Mus musculus: one gene and its partners. The protein of the gene in region 1 interacts with the protein of each later gene in a pairwise test. Links are inferred from orthologs where the notes say so. Each region holds a gene or a part of one and is shown in the gene's direction. Other genes may lie near its edges.

Evidence for each region.
Region 2: the proteins of Psma1 (region 1) and Homer3 interact in binary tests that used the Homo sapiens proteins (3 or more experiments, as listed by UniProt). The two-hybrid records come from large-scale screens. The link is inferred for Mus musculus from reciprocal best matches to the Homo sapiens genes PSMA1 and HOMER3.
Region 3: the proteins of Psma1 (region 1) and Mid2 interact in binary tests that used the Homo sapiens proteins (3 or more experiments, as listed by UniProt). The two-hybrid records come from large-scale screens. The link is inferred for Mus musculus from reciprocal best matches to the Homo sapiens genes PSMA1 and MID2.
Region 4: the proteins of Psma1 (region 1) and Pnma2 interact in binary tests that used the Homo sapiens proteins (3 or more experiments, as listed by UniProt). The two-hybrid records come from large-scale screens. The link is inferred for Mus musculus from reciprocal best matches to the Homo sapiens genes PSMA1 and PNMA2.
Region 5: the proteins of Psma1 (region 1) and Mtus2 interact in binary tests that used the Homo sapiens proteins (3 or more experiments, as listed by UniProt). The two-hybrid records come from large-scale screens. The link is inferred for Mus musculus from reciprocal best matches to the Homo sapiens genes PSMA1 and MTUS2.

The regions. Positions count from the first base shown.
Region 1 is NC_000073.6:114,273,311-114,277,330, reverse strand, and holds the start of Psma1 (proteasome subunit alpha type-1), read left to right. Parts: upstream 1-1,214; 5' UTR 1,215-1,327; coding exon 1,328-1,330; intron 1,331-2,870; coding exon 2,871-2,915; intron 2,916-3,203; coding exon 3,204-3,305; intron 3,306-3,415; coding exon 3,416-3,519; intron 3,520-4,020. UniProt on the Homo sapiens protein: Component of the 20S core proteasome complex involved in the proteolytic degradation of most intracellular proteins. This complex plays numerous essential roles within the cell by associating with different regulatory particles.
Region 2 is NC_000074.6:70,281,726-70,285,813, forward strand, and holds the start of Homer3 (homer protein homolog 3), read left to right. Parts: upstream 1-1,273; 5' UTR 1,274-1,286; coding exon of another isoform or gene 1,287-1,375; exon of another isoform or gene 1,376-1,799; intron 1,800-3,508; coding exon of another isoform or gene 3,509-3,576; coding exon 3,577-3,590; intron 3,591-3,668; coding exon 3,669-3,825; intron 3,826-4,088. UniProt on the Homo sapiens protein: Postsynaptic density scaffolding protein. Binds and cross-links cytoplasmic regions of GRM1, GRM5, ITPR1, DNM3, RYR1, RYR2, SHANK1 and SHANK3.
Region 3 is NC_000086.7:140,663,534-140,667,770, forward strand, and holds the start of Mid2 (probable E3 ubiquitin-protein ligase MID2), read left to right. Parts: upstream 1-1,422; 5' UTR 1,423-1,741; coding exon 1,742-1,745; intron 1,746-4,237. UniProt on the Homo sapiens protein: E3 ubiquitin ligase that plays a role in microtubule stabilization. Mediates the 'Lys-48'-linked polyubiquitination of LRRK2 to drive its localization to microtubules and its proteasomal degradation in neurons.
Region 4 is NC_000080.6:66,909,886-66,914,022, forward strand, and holds the start of Pnma2 (paraneoplastic antigen Ma2 homolog), read left to right. Parts: upstream 1-1,322; 5' UTR 1,323-1,408; intron 1,409-4,137. Other genes in the region: Dpysl2 (dihydropyrimidinase-related protein 2), read right to left, coding at 557-898.
Region 5 is NC_000071.6:147,955,890-147,960,134, forward strand, and holds the start of Mtus2 (microtubule-associated tumor suppressor candidate 2 homolog), read left to right. Parts: upstream 1-1,430; 5' UTR 1,431-1,832; exon of another isoform or gene 1,833-2,146; intron 2,147-4,245. UniProt on the Homo sapiens protein: Binds microtubules. Together with MAPRE1 may target the microtubule depolymerase KIF2C to the plus-end of microtubules. May regulate the dynamics of microtubules at their growing distal tip.

The DNA.
Region 1 (4,020 bases):
TCCAAATCCATTGTTCATTCAGCAATACAAATTATGTACCTAATATGTGCTAGGCACCGTGCTGGTGCTGCGAAAACAAAACAGCACTATCTATCAATTTAAAGTCAGAAATTTTTAAAAATAACAAGAGCCAGTGTTGGTGAATTTAAAGAACAAAGCAATCTAATTAACTGTTGAGAGCATATAAACGAGGGAGGGAGGGTGCAAACCCAGAGAGAGATGAGAAAAAGAAAAGCAAAAAGCATGATGGTTCAGAGGATTGCTATATTAGCTGCCAAGCTGTGAACCTGAGTTCAATCCCAGAATCCACGTGGCGCAAGGAGAGAACCACCAACTTCAAGTTGTCTTCAGACTCCCAAAAAAGGGTATGCAGGGACACAGACACACACACAAAACAAATGTAAAAACAAAAAATGTACATATATATACAGACATGAAAATATTTAGAATGTGATACTAATTACTGTGAACATAGACATTTAAATGATGTGTTACTCCGCCATCAAAGTTCAGATCCTTAAAGATCCTTACCTGACTCTGGGTACACGTTATTCAACAGAATTAGCAGTCTTGATTTCATTTGGGGATTAAACCAAAACATACTCTTTTAAAACTCGTAAGAAAACTCGCACCTTCCCCCTAGTGGCCTAATCTACCAGATACGGTATTTGGTTGTGGACAGCAGAAGATCAAGTGCCAGGACAGAAACCAGGTCCTACAATAGCAACTAATGATCATAAGTATCACGATCATGCGAGACCATGGAGCCTTTAAGGATGGGCTCTCCAAGTACTCAAGCATCTCAGGCCAGGAATATGAACACACACACACACACACACACACACACACACACTTGTTTTTTTTTTTTTTTTTTCTGCAGCCTCTTTCAGACACGCTGTTTCCCAAACCTCTCTGTGCACTGTGACAGATCTATGAGGGACCACCGCACCATCCCGAGCTAGGTGGCGACGTTCAACTGAGAGGACCGAGAGTTGGCGGGAATCTGCAATCCACTTGGGGATTAAAAAAAAAAAAAGCAAGGAAACTCTGGGCGTGACGTGAAGCCACGCCCCCCGCTTTCTCTGCGCATTGGCTTTCCCACCCCGGAGCTTCCTGCCAATCCCACGTTCTCAGCTTTCGCAGGCCCCGCCCACTTAAGGCTGGAGGGCGGGGCAGCGTTAGACGCCGATCCGTGGCTCTGGGATAGATTGCACTTCCTGCGTCGCCGCCGTCAAGACTCCGCAGGCTTCTTTGACGATCACCGAACCGTAGTTGGGGCCGTGTTCCTGTGTCCGCTGCTGGGTCAGGTTGTCGCTGCGCCGGAGCTATGGTGTGTTGAGCCCCGAGTCCTCGAAGGGTTTGGGGCTGAGGTACACTGACGTGGTCGGGGATCGGCCTCTGTTCCCTGGGGCGTGGGGCGGTGGGAGAGGGAGCTTACCTCACGGACAGTCTCCTACAGTGATTCAGCATCTGCGGCCTGGCCGGCGGGAAACGATCAGTAACCTGGGCGGCCTTTCGCTCAGCTTCTCCACCTTACGTGGGGTCCAGGCGCTCTCCCTCGCCCAGCCAGAGGCCCTCCCCTCTCAATTTACTTAGGTGGCCGATTTCAAGATGCCCTATGGTCCTTTGTCATCTGCATAGGAGGAAGGCTATAGGAATGGAGGGGTGCACCTGGCATCGCCTGCGCAGACCTGAGCCTGCAGTCAGGTCTTTAGACCAAATTCATCTTCCTTGTGGGTCTGTCTTAATCTGTCTCATTAGAATGCCGTCGGGAAAGACTCCATACAGTCACTTTGTTCTAAAAGGGGAAGTAATGGATTCAGGTTTACAGCACAGGGCCCTGAGCTGCTTCTGTGGAGTCTGCCATGCGAACTCTTGCCTTTTTTGCCATTATGAGTATTCTCCTAAGAGCCGATACACTTGCTTTAGTAATGACATTATGGCTGTAGTGGGTCTGCCACGGTAGCAATTTGTGCCCACCTCTTTACTGAGGATTTGTGTATATGTTAATTCATCCAGTGACAGGGTGCAGGTAGAGAGCTCAAAGTTAAACCAAACATAACTTTATTCATACTATAAAGATAAAAAAGGTATGTTGGAAGGTGTTATGGTACACGAGTTTAATCCCAGCACTTAGGAAGCAGAGAGGCAGAATTCTGTGAGTTTGAGGCAAGCCTAAGTCAAAGTTCCAGGACATCCATAGTGTAGAGACCGACACCAAAAAAAAAAAAAAAAAAAAAAAAAAGGAAGGAAGAAAAGAAGAAAAAAATATGTATAGTTGGTCATGATAGCAGACACCTGTAATCTGAGCACTTGGTAGGTTGAGACAGGACTTCAAGATCATTTTCCCAGGTATATAGGAAAAAGCCAGACTGGGCTTCATGAAACCTGTATCTCAAAGCTCTGCTGGAATATTGTGCTGAGAATTTTCAGAGAAAAGAAGAAACCTTCAAGCTCTGTTGGAATATTGTGCTGAGAATTTTCGGAGAAAAGAAGAAACCTTCAAAGATAGACATTTGAGTCAATGTACAGAAAAGGCCTTTGCCAGATTATTAGAGCCCTGTGTAGAGAACAGTATGAGCAAAGTGGAGGGAAAGTTGGTGTGTGCATTCTTTAGCACTTGACTACCCAAGGGGAGTGCTGTGGAGAATGGCAGGATATAGAGTTAGGGAGAACCTAGTCCATTCATCCCAACAGCTCCAGCATGGTTAAGGGACCTTGTTAAGGTAGAATTGCATTGCAAACTGAGTGCTGTAATAATGTCTCAAGAAAGCTGCACTAGGAGAGAGGCTGTAACAATTGAAACACATGTCTTAATGTTAAAATTTGAACTTTGTAATGTTCTCATTTAATCTTTCTTCCACTTTCAGTTTCGAAACCAGTATGACAATGATGTCACTGTTTGGAGCCCTCAGGTAAAAAATGTTTTATGCCATATCAATGAAGTGACTTTTCATGGCTGAAGTAGGTTCAGGGACCTATGAGATTGTAAACTGGGCTTGGTGGTACACATCTTAATCTTCATTGGTCTGCCGTTGGCTGAAGCCATAGGATCATGGAGTCAGTGGGCAATTTGAGCAGCTTAGTAGAACTCCTTAAAAGAAAAGGAAACAAAGCTTGTGAGATTATAGGCTGTGACCTTCAAGTTAGAATTAAAATTCGTTTATTGGTTTTAAAACGTGAAAAAAAATGTTTGTCTTTAGGGCAGGATTCATCAAATTGAATATGCAATGGAAGCTGTTAAGCAAGGTTCAGCAACAGTTGGTCTAAAATCAAAAACGCACGCAGTGCTGGTTGCACTGAAGGTGAGTGAAATATAACCCTGTCTTCTTCCTCAGGAACAGAACTATCAAATGTAGATTCCACTGATAAACAGTGAACCTCTGAACTAAAATACCATATTGTGTCTATTTAGAGAGCACAGTCAGAGCTTGCCGCTCACCAGAAGAAAATTCTCCATGTTGACAACCATATTGGTATCTCAATTGCGGGTCTAACTGCTGATGCCAGACTGTTATGGTATGTATGATGATGAAAAATGAAACATCCATTTTGATTCTTAATAGACTATTTTTCTAAAAAAAGAAATACCTAAATAAGATATAGGAAGTCATCTCCCAGAATATTGTAATTTTTAATTGTTTATTTTATTTGTGTGCATGTTTTGCCTGTCTGTATGTCTGTGCACTAGAGTGTGCCTGGTTTCCTCAGAAGCCAGAAGAAGACATTAGATTCCCCCAGTATTGGGGTAACAGAAGATTGTGAGGTTCTATGTGGATACTGGAATTGAAACTGGGTTCTCTGGAAGAACAGCTAAGCTATCTATCTCTCCAGTCCCCAGAATATTAAAATTTGTACTATTGTAAATACCTTAGTGGGTTTGAGTATGAAACTAAGTATTTCTATTTCTTAATTTTTATAGTGCTATTAAAATGATTTTGAAAGTCCCTTAAAGTGATACTTGCTGACATGTATATTGTCTCAAGCCCTTCATGCCTAAGAGCTGGGCACTCTTCTGTT
Region 2 (4,088 bases), on another chromosome or scaffold:
CTGAAAGTTAGCCACCTGCTCAGATCCCAGCAGACACCAGAGGGCTTGAGAAGAGAAAAAAATATATATCTGACATAAGAAATGCAAAGCTGAGAACCACAGACTCTGATTCGGACACAGCCATTTGTCCCCAGAACACGGAAACCCTTGCAGAAATTTCTAGAAAAGTGCAGCAAGGGATTTGCCACAGGGCTAGGGACCCACTGGCAGATAGGTGATCCCCTGAAGGATCCTCGGCGGGCTGCTGTGGCTGTGGACAGAGGCAGGACTCAGCCTACAGAGCTGCAGGGAGTTTGTCCATTTCATTGGAAGACAACACTAAGAGGACACTTGGATCCTAAGACTCTGTAACAATAACCTAGTTACTCCCAGAATTTATTTTTGAAAGTCAGGGTCTCACTATGTGGCCCTAGATGGCTTAGAACTCACTATATAGACCAATCTAGCCTAGAATTCACAGAGATTTGCCTGCTTGTTCTTTTCGTGGGAATTAGGATGGAGCCCAGGGCACCACAGACGCTTGACGAGGGCGTTACACACTGATTTGCAGTCCCACCCCCACCTTCGTTTTGGGGAGCTGGGCTCAAGCTGTCTTCATGCTTCAGTTGCTGAGGGTCCAGGAACTTTTTCTTTTCGAAGAAGCCACATGAAGACTCAGGGCCACCCTTGGTAGGAGGCAGGAAAGCGAAGGGTCGTTGTCCACCCATTTTCCGTGTTTCTCCCTATCTCTGGGTCACCAGATCACACTCCAGGACTTCTGCCTCTGTCTTCACACCCTGGCCCGCTACCACCCATCTAACACCCACACTTTTGTCTTCTCAGCCTTCAGCCCATCAGTCCAATGCTCTGCCCCAAGGCCGATCCAGACAGACCCTCCTCTTCCACCCCTCTCCCCACCCCGCTGTCTTTGTCCGCAGTCACCTTCTGTCTCTCTCCGCTGCCCTCCTGGATCCCTCCCCTCTGTCCAGTACTCTGCCTGATCCTAGGCCCCTGCCCTTAATCCCTCTGATCCCAGCCCCAGACTTTATGGGCCCCTCCCCCTCCTTCAAAAGCCACGCCCTCCCCACTTCCTTCAGTTGCCTCCCACTGGGTCCCCCCTTCAGAAGTTCCTCCTCTTGACCTCCTGGTGCCCTCCCCTTCCTCTGCCCTTTCACCCCGCCCAACTCCCCCCTCCATGTCCGCCCTCCTCTTCTTCCCTCTCGGGGTCCCCTCCCTCTTCCCCGCCCTCCGTAGCTGGCCAGCAGGGGGCGCTGGGCAGAGGCGGGGCGGCGCGGGGACTGGCCGCGATGGGACCGGAGGCGGCGCAGACAAAGGCGCGGGCGGCGCGGGGCGCGCGGAGGGCGCGGGCCGGAGGCTGCAGCGACGACGACGCGGGGTGAGCCAGACAGGGGGACCCCAGCTTCCGAGGCACAATCAGGGAGTCGGGGGCGCAGGAAACGCAGACGGTTTCCAAAGTTGCGGACTGTGAGGCGGGGCCCAGGAGCTGCGGGGTGCAGGCTGAGGGGTTGGGATCCTGGGGTGCCGGCTAGGGGGCCGGCTCAGGTGCTGGCTGGGGCGCGGGGCGCGTCTTCACCGGGTTCCTCAGCCGAGGTCCGGGTGTTGGGGACGCCGCATCGCGAGGCTCCGCCACTTAGAAGTTGCGGGTCAGCGGCTCCCGTAGTTGCCCTCACGAGCTGCCCTGGAGGGAGTGGGAACCGGTGCCAAATGGGAAGCCGGCGTGGGGCTCCTGGCAGGGTCCCCGCCGCGCGCGATCGCGGTTCTCCGCCCCGCGCCTCTGCTCCAAGGCGCGTGACTACTCAGTGAGTAACTTTTCCTGATGGTGGCAAGTCCAGGCAGGAGTGGTCCGACCGGAAGGGCCTGGGTTCGGGGACCCCTTTCCCCCAATCTCCGCCAGTTCCATTAGCGTCTCTGACTGGACAACCCCCCTACCCTCCCTCTGTATGGGAACTTAGGTTTCGCAGCTTCCCAAGACAGCTTGGAGGGGCCCTGACCTCAGACCCCGGGTCTTGACCTCCCGCACCCGCAGGACCCTCCTTCTCCTCCAATCTCCTTAGTTGAAATTTGGGGGACTTAGGAGAATGACAGGTGCAAGCGTTCATAGGAGGCTGGGGAGCTCCGTTCTCCCGGTCCTGTTCCCTGTTCACATGGTGGGGACTAGGATGAACCGCTGTGTGCAATGCGTGCTTGTGTGTGTGTGTGTGCCTGTGCGTTGAGACATGGTCCCACTCTGTAGCCCAGGTTGGCTTCAAAGTCTCCTCATTCTCCCCAGTGCTGGTGCCACCATACCAGGCTTTCATTTTTTCCTTTTAAGTAAGCTCCCTGGAGACTCAGACACAGAGTTATCTGGGCTAAGTGGTCCTTTCTCTCTCTCTCCTCTCTCTCTCTCTCTCTCTCTCTCTCTCTCTCTCTCTCTCTCTCTCTCTCTCTCTCTCTCTCTCTCTCTCTCTCTCTCTCTCTCTCCTCTCTCTCTCTCTCCCTCCCTCCCTCCCTCCCTCCCTCCCTTCCTTCCTAGAGTTATTTATTTTATTTATACAAGTACACTGTAGCTGTCTTCAGACACATCAGAACAGGGCATCCAATCCCATTACAGATGGCTATGAGCCACTATGTGGTTGCTGGGAATTGAACTCAGGACCTCTGGAAGAGCAGTCAGTGCTCTTACCCACTGAACCATCTCTTCAGCCCCGAAGTGGTCCATTTGTGGGATCAGCGAGGTCCTGATTTTCCTGTTAGGTCCCTGGAAGCACTCCACTTTTACTCCTTGAGATGGGTTTATCCCTCCATGATGACCAGGGAGGCCTTGAACTCCTGGGATGCATGATCTAACCGCCTTGGCTTTCAGATAGATAAAACCACAGGGCCTCACCACGGATCCAGCTTTGTCCCACATTTTGATGCAAGGCCCTCTGGGAGGAGAGGGGGGCTGTTGGATGGGAGGGGATGAATGAGATGTTCCACTCGGTTGATCTTGACCTCATGTTCAGTTCCTGTGGGAGGACACTTGCCCAGTGGTGGGTAACCTGGACAGTGAGTATAATCCTGCGTGCCAACAACCAGGCTATTCTCCAAGCCATATCCTACCTACCCTTGCAGTTTGGTGGCACTGTATCACCTCTCTGGTGACACTAGAGATCTAGAGATCACTCAGTCCAGTTGTGGGGGCTTCTCCCAAAAGCAGGGCCTTTTGTTTATGCCTACAGCTCAGTTGATAGAGAGCTTGCATGGGATGCAGGATGCTCTGGGCTCCATCCTCAGCACCACATGAACCAAGAATGATGGCACAAGCTGCCGTCCCAGCATTTAGGAGGTGGAGGCCAGAGGATCAAGAGTTCAAGGTTGCTGTTGGCTGCAAAGTGATTTCAAGGCCAGTCTGGGCTGGGACTGAGGAAGTGGGTGTCTGACCAGCAGCTGCTCCTTTCCTGCCTCGCTGGTTTTGTGAAGTCACCTGGAGGACCCACTTGGCCTGAGTATCCTTGGAGCCTTACTCACAATCTTCTTCTTTCCCTAGGGGACAAACAAGTGACTCCTGTCACCCCTCTGGGTGCCCCTTAGAGGCCATCCAGCCCAACCTGACCAATGTCCACAGCCAGGTGAGCACTCACCCACTCTGGTCTGGCCTTGCCCCTGGGTGGCATCAGACTCCTGCAGAGTTTCTGTCCCTGCTGTAGGGAACAGCCAATCTTCAGCACCCGGGCGCACGTATTCCAGATCGACCCCACTACAAAGCGGAACTGGATCCCCGCCGGCAAGCACGCACTTACCGTGTCCTATTTCTATGATGCAACCCGAAATGTGTACCGCATCATCAGCATCGGGGGTGCCAAGGTCTGAGCAGGGGTTTGGGGGCAGGTGTGCAGCCACCAGCCAGGCTGGGTGACTTGGGAATCAACGATCCTTTCCCAGACCTAACGTCTTCCAGAAATAACTCAGTGGTGGGGTCTCCGAGAAGGGACAAGAGTTCTACTGCAGCCCTTCACTGGGGGATTCTAGGCAGGGGCTCCACCTGTATGCCTTCCGATAGCTCCTCACTGGGGGATCCTAGGTAGGGATTAGCTACTAAGACAGATGCCTAGAGTTCCTTTTTTAAT
Region 3 (4,237 bases), on another chromosome or scaffold:
TCTGCTGTGTAGGTGTTGGTGCTATGTAGTCTCATTTGTTTGGTTTTGCTCTTGTTGTCTGTGCTTTGGATATGACACATTAACTTTTACATCTCTTGGTGCTGTACTTCCTTTTAGGTAATGTGGTTGGGTTTTTCCCTTCATTTCCACTCCAGTGTTCTCTAGCAGGTTTGTTTAACAGTGCTGTTGGCTGACTGCTATTGGTTCCCTGATAAGACACACCCATCTACCTTCATTTTTTTTTCTGGATTTGTTCCCAAGCACAGTAATGGGAGGCCCATGTGAGAGGGGCTGTTTCGGATTGCTTTATTCCTTCCTCATTTTGAGTGGAGCTAGAAAGAATATCCTCTGAGGTGGCTTCCTTCTCTCATCTACCTTTTAAGTGTGTGTGTGTGTGTGTGTGTGTGTGTGTGTGTGTGTGTGTTGGGGGGAGGTGGTAGTCTTTGAGCCAGTGATAGGTTAAAAGACAGGCTGTATCCAGACCAATGGGAGGCTCCTGGCTTCCAAATGGATCTTATTAGGGACATTGTATTCTGGATGGCTAGCATCTGCCTCATTGTCCTCTTGGCAGTGACCCTTTTGTATTGGTCAAGGATCTGAAGGTGCAAAAGAAACCTTACCCCATACACTTTTAGTGGCTTTAATCCACCTGAACAACTTGTGCCCAAGTCCAATAGAACATTGCCATTCTCCCTTTGTCAAAAGAAAAAGGGGTTGGGTTTCCTTCAATTGTCTGCCCTTCTCTGTCTCCTCCACTATTTTTGTTTTACTCTCTAGTTAACTTTGCATACAACAGCTTCACCAGTAGGACCTGTGAGGAGGATCCAGGCACACTCTTTTCATTGGCGAGTGCAACAGCCTTCTCCTTGCTCTCATCTGGGGGTTTGTGGATGTAGAAGGGAGGTAGGTGGGTGAAGAGTTTGGCCACAGTCTTCCTTCTGCGCTTCACACACACCACCCGGTCGTGGACGCGCAAACACACACACACACACACACACACACACACACACACACACACACACGCTCGTGCGCGCCTGCTCAGGCCCCTTCTCCCTGTGTCTTCCATCAAGATGACAGGGTGCTGGAGAAAAGGCTGCTGGAATCAGCTGGTAGGTACAGTAGTAATCTGAACCCCACCCACCCACTGCCTTTGCTTGCTCGGGTTTCTCTGGTCACTCCTGCCAGGGGAGAAAACATGTAAGCGCGCCTCCAGAGGAGGGGCACGGGGAGTTGGGAGTGGCGGGGGCGGCGGAAGGTGAGCCTAGGAAGGTGGCCCAGCGCCCCTTCTGCCCGGCCCCTCCCCGTGCTCCCGTAGGGTGTCAGCCTCGGCTCTGCTTGCCCCCACTCCACCCTCCTTTCGAAGGGATTGCCTTTTTTTTCCCTCTGCTGCGGCGGAAATGACAGTGTGGTGCTGCGGTGGTGTCATGGTGCTGCCTCTGGACCGAGAGGCGAAAACTCTTTAAGTTTAGCCCGGGAGACCTAGACGCGGGAACGTCGCGGTCTCCGTGCTGTCCCCCGTGGGGCGCGCGGGCTGGCGGATCCCGGCTGTTGCGCGGCGGCGGCGGCGGCCGCAGCGGCGAAGGCGGGCGGCGGCCTAGAGTGGTGGTGGCGGCGGCGGCGGCGGCAGCAGCGACAGCGGCCCGGGAGCTTGCACGGGAGCCCGAGCCAGCTTGCTGCGGAGGCCGGCGAGCGCCCGGCGCTCCCCGGCGCGCGTAGGAGATGGCTGGCACCCGGGAACAATATGGGTAAAACGCGTCCCCTCGCCGAGGCCCGGGGGGATGGTGGTGGTGGTGGGGTGGCTAGTGTCGCCGCCCGCGCCGGGCTTGGCCCTGGCTGGCTCCTGCTGCTCTTCAGGTGCCGCCGGGGCTGGAACTGGCCGAGGACACTTGGGCTTGGGGGGGGGGGCGGCAAGAGGGGGGAGACGGGGTCCTGGCGGCAATGGCAGGGCCCCGGTTGTCTGTCACACTGTTGTGACCCGAGCTCCTGCCGCTGCCCTCCTGGGAAGGAGTTTGCACTCCTAGATCCCAGGCTGGGGACCGGCCCGAGGCCTCCCGCTTGGCCAGGCCGAGCAGGGAGAAAGCAGTGGAGCGGCTCAGCTCTCGTGGCGCCTAGGCGCAAGTCTGGGAAAGGGCGCAGCCGCCTTCCCACGCTCCCGAAATCCACGGCGTCCTCGGCCCGGGCGGCGCCCCGAGGTCGGCGGTTGGCTCAGTGGTGCTGGCGCAGCAGCCTGAGATTCTGTGGACACCCTGCGAGCGGGAACCCCGGGAGAAACTTAATTCTCCCTCCCCTTTTCCTCCCTGCTGGGGAAACGATCTTCAGGTCTCTGTCTGGGTGGTTCTTTATTTCTGGCCTAGCTGTGAAAGCAGCCCCGTGGGGGGGGGGGGGGTGGAGAGGGAAAAACTTGAGTGTGTCCATAGGACACACTGCGACTGAAGCAGGGACAGGGGAGCCTTTTCCATTCCGGGCTCATAAAAATTACTGGAACATTACTGGTTATGAGCTGGCTTGGGTTGTTTCGCACTTCACGTGCAGCATAGTATTTATTTATTTAGGAGGCATTTCGATTTAGAGGAGGAAATTAGGATCCAGGGATTGTTGGACTCTTCACTTTCCCCACTCTTCCACACTCCTTAGGTACTGTCTCTATTCAAGCCCCCACATCTCCCACCAGAGTTCCTGCACTCTCAGCTTTTCTCTGTCAACCTGTGCAATGCGGCTTCTTGCTTTTCAATCACTTTGATTTTTTTTGAAGATTTTGGAGGGTGGGGCTGCTGAATGGCATTAGTTGTGTGTCTGTCTCTAAGGAGGAGTATTTATGAAGCAAGACATTGGAAACTGTAATAGTACACAACTATTGTGTGGGGATTAATTAATCTGATTCTCGAATTGGACCACAAGAGTTGACTTTAATCCCATTCCATTTCCTCTCTGAAATCGAATCAGATCTCTGACACTATTCCAATAGAAGATGGAGTTGCTAAATGGAGAGTTTACATTCTTGCTCACTTCTGCTTGGGGAGCTTTTGCTGTACCCTAGATTCCTATCCCAGCATCCCCACCTTTTTTTAACCTCCTCCTCTCTGCTCATCACTGCCCCAAGGGAGAATCAATCTTTGCTATTTTTATATATTCCTGCTCAATCAATTAGCTTAACACAGACTCATAATATGAATTAGATTTCTCGTGATTGTTCCTTACAAAACTCGTTTCATGTGGTTGAAACACAAGCCTGGAAGCCAAGAAGATCAGAGAGTTCATTCCAGATGTGACGTTGCATTGGCTTTAAGGCCTTTAGACATTTGTATGACCTCTCTTTCACAGTTGCTTCACTTGCATAAAAGGCATAATATTGTGTACTGGGTATTGTGAGTATTGGCTTGGTCCTTTGAAGATAAAAGGATTCTATAAACCTCAGCATTATACTCTTCAATGAAAGCACTTCATTTATCCTTTATTGGGTTACTGGATTGACTGGGTATAAATGGGAACACTAATTTACAGGAACCCTAATTTGCCATTATTAGTTCCCTTGAGATTCAAATTATCATTGTAATTTAGATCTTAAGTCAATTTGTTTCATGAATGTATATGCAACTGAATGGAAACATATATACAATTAGGCATAGAAAGTAATGGTGATGATTTTAAGTCGAGTCATAAATCATATTGATTACACTTTACCCTAACAATGTGAGTCAGACTCATTTGAATATTCAACCTCACCCATTTTTTTAGTCTACATGGGGGGAGTTAGTTAATGACCAATAAAAGTAATATAGATACATTTAGGTCTGGCTATATAAGCAAAATTAGCACCTAGCAGCAGTGAGTCAATATTTTTCAAAGCACCTTTAATGTACAGAAGCCTCTGCTGTCTGTGTTGAGTGAGGACCTGCCCTTGACCCAGTATTTTGGGCTCATATTTGCCCTATGCTAAACTCTACTTACAGTTCCATGGCTCCATGGCTAGGATGCAGTCAGGGTGGGTGATGTGTGGAGTAGGGAGAGAGGGTTATGGCACATGAAGAGCTGTCTCTCCTATTTACTTTCATGACTACTGGGATTCCTGCTTAGCATGTTGTACCTTGCAAGACCACTTCTGAGAGGCACTTGCTGCAAATGAGTGGCTTGGTTGCTTCACAAACATATCATCTGAACAGCGCAAATTGACTTAGATAAAATTGGTTTGGTTAATCCCTCCTCTAAAAACAGGGCAACTTGCTCCAACCTGCAGGTC
Region 4 (4,137 bases), on another chromosome or scaffold:
CCGGGCGCTGGCCGTGGTCCTGACCTCCTAGCTCAGAACCATGGTGCTGAGCGCACTAGAGGCGGGGACCTTGCCACACTGAGTAGCCATGTAAGCCCTTGTCCCTACAGACCCCAAGGGAATCCTCTAGTCTTCACTGCAGCCTTCCACTGCTCTCTTTGAGCTGCATCAAAAAAGGGTGGGGCTCTGAGCCGCAGCTGCAATCGGATGCCGCCCGGGAGGATTTAAGAACAGCACAGTGGTCCACCCCAATCGCCACTCGACGCCTCCAGCCCGGGGATCAGCTGGTCCCTGACGCGGGTTCCCCACCTCCCAGGGACAAGGAGGCTAGGGCAGCCTTTGTGGGAGCTCAAACGCCCACTGGCGAACCCGTGCCTCGCCGCACCCTGCGCGGTGAAGGGGTGGGCAGGGCGCGGTGCGCGTGCAGATGCGGGAGGCAGAGCTCTTGGTGCCGCGTGCTGGCTGGTGCTGGCTGCCACGCGGGGATGCTCGGTCCTCCGCGACAAGCCAGGGGGCAGCCCCGCGCTCCGATCCCACCCTCCACCCCCATACCAACCTGATCATAGATGTTCTGCAGGGCTTCCTTGCCCGAGGCCCGCCGGATCTCCACCTTCCGGCTCGATTCAACAGATGGCTCCCCACTGGCACGCCGGCTCTGCCGGTGCGGGTCGGGGCCCAAGTGGGCGACATCGCGCTGCTGAGCCACCACTTGCCCCGAGCCCCGGCCCACTGAAAGCGAGTCGAAGTCGATGGTCTTGTTCTCCGAGGACCCTTCCACAGGGCAGAACATGCCGCAGAATTTCTGCCGCGGCTTGGGACTGCCGGAGCCCAGGTTTTTAAAAAAGGCAGGGACCTCTTCGTCCTCTGCTGCCTTTCCAGATTGCTTTCTCTCGGCCATGGCTCAGGGGGCGCTGGGGAAGGTCCTGTCTGTTCGTCCGTCCGTCCGTGGTTTCCTAAGTCTCCCTAGCTGGGTGTGCACTAGCCTCTTGCTGCCGCCGCGGCTGCCTCTCCCTGCCTACCGCAAGGTGCACAGAAAGGATGGAGAGCTGGCGAACCGGCGACCCACCCCTCGCGGTCCCTCCTCCTGACCCCGCTTTCTCCCTCCCTGCCCACGCCCCCCGGCGCCGCCACGCCACCTCCGAGCAAAGTTGGATCTGAGCGGGCGGTCGCTGCGGCAGAGGATGCCAGTTCCCGGCAACGCGGGGCGGGGCGGAGTGGGGCGGGGCAGGAGGAACGCAGGATCAGGAGGGAGGGGACAAGGAGGGAGAGGACCCAGAAGGAGGAGACGGAGAAGGGAGGGTACGAGGGGGTGGGGGGCGCCCGGAGCCTGCGCCCCGGAAGTAAAGCGGACACTCCACCCGCTAATGGACGCGCGGCAGCCGCCCGACAGACCTCTCTCGGCGCCAGGGTGAGTGTCGGATAGCTATAGCCGGGCAAGGACCCGAAGGCTCAGACCCTAGTCCAGAGCCCCTCTCCCCGACCTGCCTCACTGCATTGCTAAGGTGGCCCTGGGGCTCCCCTGGCCTCGGGTGAGAGCTGAGGGTTGAGGGAGCCAAGGTTCAAGCCTGAAGGCTCTTGGAAACTGGGCAGGGGTGACCCTGGAAACAGCAAAGTCTACTCCGGGATAACCAAGTATCCGGCACCAATGCTTCAGTTTACCCACGACCTGGGCGCCAGGGCGCGCACTGCAAGGAGCAGAAGGAAAGGAGAATGTTCTCCCTGCTTGCAGCCCCTGTGGTTGGGAGGTGGGGCTCACAACATGGCGGGGGCGAAAAAGCAGAGGAGCATAGCAAATGCAAGCGGTGACCGGGGGAGAAAGCAGCAAGCCTGCGGTGCGGGGGGGGGGGGGGGGGGCATAGTAAAGAATGCAGACTGAGGATTGCGCTTCAGCATAGAAACTGGGGACCCGTAACATCATCTGAAAAGGCCATGCCCTGCACATCAGCCATTGCCTCAGAAAAGGCTCAGAAGAGTCCTGGATTTGATATCTCCAATCCCTCAAAACACACACACACACACACACACACACACACACACACACACACACACACCCAAAACGGAAAATGGTTGGGGACTAAGCAGACTGAAGCACACTCATCTTGCTTTCAAGTCGCCCCGCCTAGCTTCCCCGCCCCTGTTGCACGCTGCGCAGGAGGCCCGGGAGTTTGCCAGATGTTCCTTCTCTAGGGCCGCAGCGGTTTGCATGGAGGGTAGAGGTAGATTGCTGTTCAGGGGAGGGTTACATGCTGTGTGAGTTGTGGGCAGCCAAAGTGTGGGGATTTGGAGTGTGTGCGCGCGTGCACACGGTTCAGCCACGACCGCCAGGTTCGAGGCTTTTCCTTGCTTAGTCCCACCTCCTGGTCCTGGCTTGGTTGCATTTAAGCCCCTCCTGTTTTTCCAGAGTGGCTGAAAGCTGCAAAAGTGTTGCCCATCCTTTAGGGGTTCTGGAGCGAGATCTGAGCATGCTCACTAAGATGGATGGGTTTGGTCTAGGAGAGGCAGTTTACTGCAGCGTGTTCTCACAGGGCGTTGTGACCAAGAAATCAGTCCCATTGTCAGCCTTTGCTTAGGTAACGATTGCTTGCAGATATCAACGCCCCCAGTTGCCCGAGATAGCTTGATTGATGGAGTCATAATTTGTGCGCACACACACACAATCCTGTAGGAGCCGAAAGGAGGGCCTATGGACCTTAGCACCAGAAATGCTTGGAATTTTCTTATAAAGTGTCCATTGGAATTGTCAATGCCACACTAAAGCCCTGAGGTCTTTCATCCTCCCTGCCTTCCAAGTTAGGACACCAGTTTATGAGTCATTACGCCTAAAGTCATGTGTCTAGTTGTCCAGGCCTTTGCCCCAAGAGCCTGGTTCCTTCAACAGGTTATCCTATAGGCCTCTTTAGTGAGAAAAGTACAAAATCCTTGCATTCTTCCATACCCAAGCATTTCCCTGGTGGTTCTTTTGTACATCAAGGGTGTTTCATTTACAGTCTTAAAATCTTTTTTGGTTAACCTTCATTTATGTATATGGATGTTTTGCTTGAATGTTTGTACATGCACTGTGTACAGGCCTGGGGCCATTGGCGGCCAGACAAAAGTGCCAGATTCCCCTGGAATTGAAGTTACAGAGTAAGCCAACTTGTGGGTGCTAGTAACCAAACCTGTGCATTTCACCACTAAGCAATCCCTCCAGATGTGTGAGGCCTTAGTTAATTGAAGAGCAACCCTTGTAGGTATGGTTACCATTGGGTTAAAGGTCTCAAAGGCTAGCAGATTTCAGCATGACAATTTTTCTGTGAATCTGGACATTTGGTGTTTTTTGTTCATTTGTTTGTATTTGTCTTTTTTGTTTGTTCGTTCGTTTTCTGTTTGTTTCGGTTTTTCAAGAGAGGGTTTCTCCGTGTGACAGCTCTGGCTGTCCTAGAACATACTCTGTAGACCAGGCTGGCCTGGAACTCAGAGTTCTGCCTGCCTCTGCTTCCCAAGTGCTAGGATTACAGGCATGCGCCACCACTACCCAGCATGTCGCTTGTGTTTGTTTTTGCTCTTTCTGAGACAAGGTCCTGTTTGTAAGCCCAGGCTGACCTCAAACTCCCGATGTAGCCAAGGGAGTTAAACTCCTGGCTCACTTACCTTCACCACTTAAGTGCTGGGGTAATGGGTATGTGCCACGGCGCCTGGCTTATGCAGTGCTTGGGATCTAACTCAAGGCTTTGTACATAGTGACAGCACTCTGCCAACTAGGCTACAGTCCTAGCCCCTCCAGAGCTCTTCACATCTCATTCCTCGAAACAACTCCAAGCAGAGGAAGTTCACTCCCATATTTTACAAGGGAATCTCAGGCCTAGATTGGTCTGAAGTTCCGGGCTCCCATGCTGCCAAGCACAGGGTGAGACAGCATCTTGCTCTCCTGGTTCTGACACAGTGGAACAGCCTTCAACACCTTCCAGGAAGACCGGATCTGCTCCTGCTGCTGCCATAGTTAAGACCAGCATCTGTGGCATACAACCTCCTTCAGAGTGATGGGAGATGTTCAAACCAAGGAGGAAGTGGATATAGCACCCTAACACACCCTCTACAAGTCTCTGAGAGGCACAGTCAGGCACCAAATTACAACATTTCAGTTGACATAACACATGT
Region 5 (4,245 bases), on another chromosome or scaffold:
TGGCAGGGTACCAGCGGGGCGAGGAGGAAGGGCTCACTCACTGTGTGCCTGAGAAGAAATGTGTTGAAGAAGCTGGTGCCTGTCATCTGGAGTGTGAGGCTCAAGGAAGAAGCTAACCAGAGCTTCTGTAGAGAGTTTAATGAACACTGTCAGCCGATGTGGTGGAAGATGGTCAGGTCTGCCTGTGGGATGGGGGTGGGGGTGGGATGAGTCCCTGGAGGAGTGGGAGTGGCCCGAGGAAGGAGCTGTAGCGCCAGGACCTCATTCCTTGCACCTGGGAGGCATGGGCTTCACAGAGCACCCAAATAGGAAAGTGAATGGCACAAAGGAGGCTTTACTATCTTTCTAGGTTTAAGTCAGGCTGGGGTTTGTGAGTTAGGGGAAGGGAGGGGCGAAGGCTTAAATGAAATGAGCTTAAAGTTTGATTTAGATTGGACTGGACTTTGTAATAACAGCCAGTCAGACCGCTTGTTAACACCCGAAGGTGACAGGAAAAGCGATAAAACGTGCCCTAGATTCCTCCAGAAGAAATGGGAGGCCACATAGAATAATGTAAAAAGACAGCCGTGTGAAAAGTGCTCTTTCATGATTTCCCTTCACAATATAGACCAGTTAGTACAAAAATTCAGCTGGTATAAAATGTTGCTCGGCACAGCAATGCTGGGGTGGGGGAGGGAGCCCATTTTCCCCACACTCCCGACCCCCAAGAGAAAGCGAGCAAGCACATCAGTAAGCCAGCATCTCATTGTCTTCTCTGTCAGTCTGTCCCAAATCTTGTGAGCCAGAGGCTGGAGAAGCCCCCCGGCTGTCTTCAGGCTTCCCAGGTGCGCTGCTTTCAGGCGACCTGGAAGGGCTACTGAGAAGTCCTGCGTTCATGTTTACTTCTGAGGAACGTTGTGAACTACGAAGCAGACAAGCTTGCGTTGAGACAAGAGTCTTTCAAGTGGGTAGCCGGCTATGCATTACCCCTAGATTTGGAGGCAGAGGCAAGAGGATATCTGTGAGTCTCAAGTGAGATCCTGCCTCAAACACCCCAACTCCCCCACCCCCACCCCCGCCAAACCCGCACACAATCACACACAAAACCCTTACAGAGACTTCTTTAGTCTCCTGTCCATCAGCCCCGCTACATCCCTTGCGAGTTCACCCGCTGGACCCCAATTCTTCCTGCTGCACGCAATTAAAAGAGGCTCTCTCTTCCGATTGGACCACAGCACATCCCACTCGTGGGAGTCAGGAGTCTAGGTCAGCGACCTCAGGCTGCTTCTCCTTTCTCTGGGGTCTGAGGCTGGATGCTCCGGACCACTGTGGTCCCGTGAGCTGCCGGGTCGTGTCGGGCCAGCAGAGGGCGCTCGGCTCCCCCCACGGGGCTCCGGACGAGAGGAGGCGCCGGGGCTCGCGAGCATCTCCGGGCGGCCGGGAGGGGGTGCGCGCCTCGGGCCGCTGCAGCCCGGCTTCTGTCACCGCGGACGGCACCTCACTGGAGGGTGGGCGGGAGCGGCGTCTTTGTCCGGCGAGGCGTCCTCAGCCCGGGCCATCCCTGTGATCAGAGCCCGGCGGCTTGGGCGGTGCCCAGTGGTGAAGTGCGCGGGCGGAGGGCTGGCTGCGGCCACGGCCCCAGGTACCCCGGTGCCCTAAGCTCGCCACCTGCGCCACCTCAGCCCGCGCTCTGTCAAGTTGCAGAAGACCCGGGTGGGTCAGGAGTCTGGACGCGTGGGCGCGTTGCAAACTCCAGCTGCGAAGGAGCTGCGTGCGGAGGTAGCCCGGCCCGGGATGCTCCCGGAGGCTGCTCTGGTCTCTCTGCACATCCTTCTTGGCTCCTCCAGACCCAGGTGAGCGACTGCTGTCCGCGCGTCCCGATCCGGCTGGAGACAGGTGCAGAGCGGGGCGGAGGCGGTGCCTTTTGCTGGCTTCTCTGGCATCAGAGAGCCCGCTCCCCGCTGCCCACATCTTCTGCTCCGCCGGAGAGAGGCTGCAACCCACTCGCACCTTCCGGGGATGTCAGGTTGAGCACGGTGTTTCAGAGGCGACAGCGGGTTAGCCTAAGCGAGCTCCCACCCCTCTCCACCCCCAGCTCGGGATAATTCGGTCCGTGTCTTCGTCTTAATTTAGCACCGATGTGTTATTTCCTTGGAGCCCTAGAATGGTAAGGCTTGCTCCATCCATTTTTCAACCCCCTTCATTCTGAGTCTGTGCAGGGAAAGGCTTGCAAGTGATGTTACTACCGTTCTATTTTAAATACAAACACCCAGAGAAGTACGCTTGGCGGCGTGCCAGAGGCGCCTGCACTCTTTTGTTATGTAAGTGCTTCACAGGAATATTTGCTGGTTGGTAAAGTTAGGAGCGGTTACCAGAGAACGTAAGAGCGCAGGAAGTCAGAGCCATAATTTCTGTCTTAGCTCAAAACTTTCCTTCAGGATAAGCATGAGATGGTTTTGGTATCATTTAAAGGCGACAGGAGGTCCTTTCAAAAGAAAAATTCATACCGTAGACTCTCAAGCGTTAAGACACAAAACAGGCTTTTTTTTTTTTTTTAAGTCTGTTATGAAAACCAGTGGGACGTCTCTGACAATAAATAGGTGGGAAGTGACTTAAAGAAATAGATCCCTGTCACATAGCCGTTTTGGCTTTTAAGTTGTTAGGTAGTTGTATTTTGCTGTCACGTGGACATAGCTAATCGTGTGTTGACAGTTATTAAAGATCTCTGCTCACACGTACCGTAATTTTTCAGGTACAAAGATGAGAGTGGAAAACATCAGATACGCATCTTGTTCTTACTGGTTTCTGGTGATGGCATTTGTTATGTGTGTGGCTCATGTGGAGTCAGGGTTGTGACTGTTGGTGGGCATCGTTTCGTGCTTCGTTTAGTCTCCAGCAGCATAAGGTGGGGCTCGGTGGGTTCGAGGTACCCCAGCCAGGCGTGTGACATATAGGGAGAGAAACTTGTGTTTGACTGGAGAGAAGCTAAAGATTTTAGCCCGGGTCTTTTTCATCTAAGTGATTTTCCTGCTTGTTTTCCTTGCAAAGAAAAGCTGTGTGTACCGGGGGTCCTTAGTACCACAGAGGGTACCCATGGGAGTCTTAGTTGGGGTATAGTGCATTGTGCAGAGGAAACCCTGAAAGTTCAGTAGTTTTGGGGAGAGGGAGTGCCTTCTTTTTGTTTGCATGATTTTTTTTTTAAAAAATTGTTTCACCAAGGATTATTTTTCTCACTGAATGGATGTTTTCATATACTATATAGGAGTGCAATCAGTCAATCAGGTGCACAAAAGCCTTTTTGGTAATTTTAAGGACAGAGGGAAAGCTGGCATCTTTTATAAGTCCACATTTCCACAGCTTGGGGCGGGCTTACAGAGGCTTTATGGGAGCTTATGTAAGAGCCACGACGGTGCTTTTGGTACTCGGTTAAACTCCCTGCTTTGGCTATTACATAATTGACATGGAACTAGGCTGTCAGAGCTGAAATCGTGAGGGAGAATGTATAAAAACCTAGGCTCATGTGGGATGCACACAACACACACACACACACACACACAGACACACACACACACAGACACACACACACACAGACACACACACACACAGACACACACACACACAGACACACACAAACACACACACACACACAGACACACACACACAGACACACACACACACACACACAGACACACACACACACACACAGACACACACAAACACACACACACACACAGACACACACACACACAGACACACACACACAGACACACACACACACACACAAACACACACACACACAGACACACACACACAGACACACACACAGACACACACACACAGACACACAGACACACAGACACACACACACACACACACACACACACAGACACACACACACACACACAAACACACACACACACACAGACACACACACACAGACACACACACAGACACACACACACAGACACACAGACACACACACACACACACACACACACACACACACACACACACACGGCTTTATAATGAATAGCTGCTGCCAAATTAGAGGGAGCAGCAGGGATGGTCGTTTGTGAACGGGAGATAAGAACTGTGTCAGGAGGATGGCTGGAATAGAAAACTGTTAGGTTTAACAATTTTCTAGAGACCTGAATGCTGGCTGAAACTACTGCAGCCCTTTCCATGCTGGCTATACAAAGAGGCTGGGAATCTTGGCCTTCTGGTCCCTCACCTGGACTTACTTTGGGAGGCCCTGGGAGGAGCACT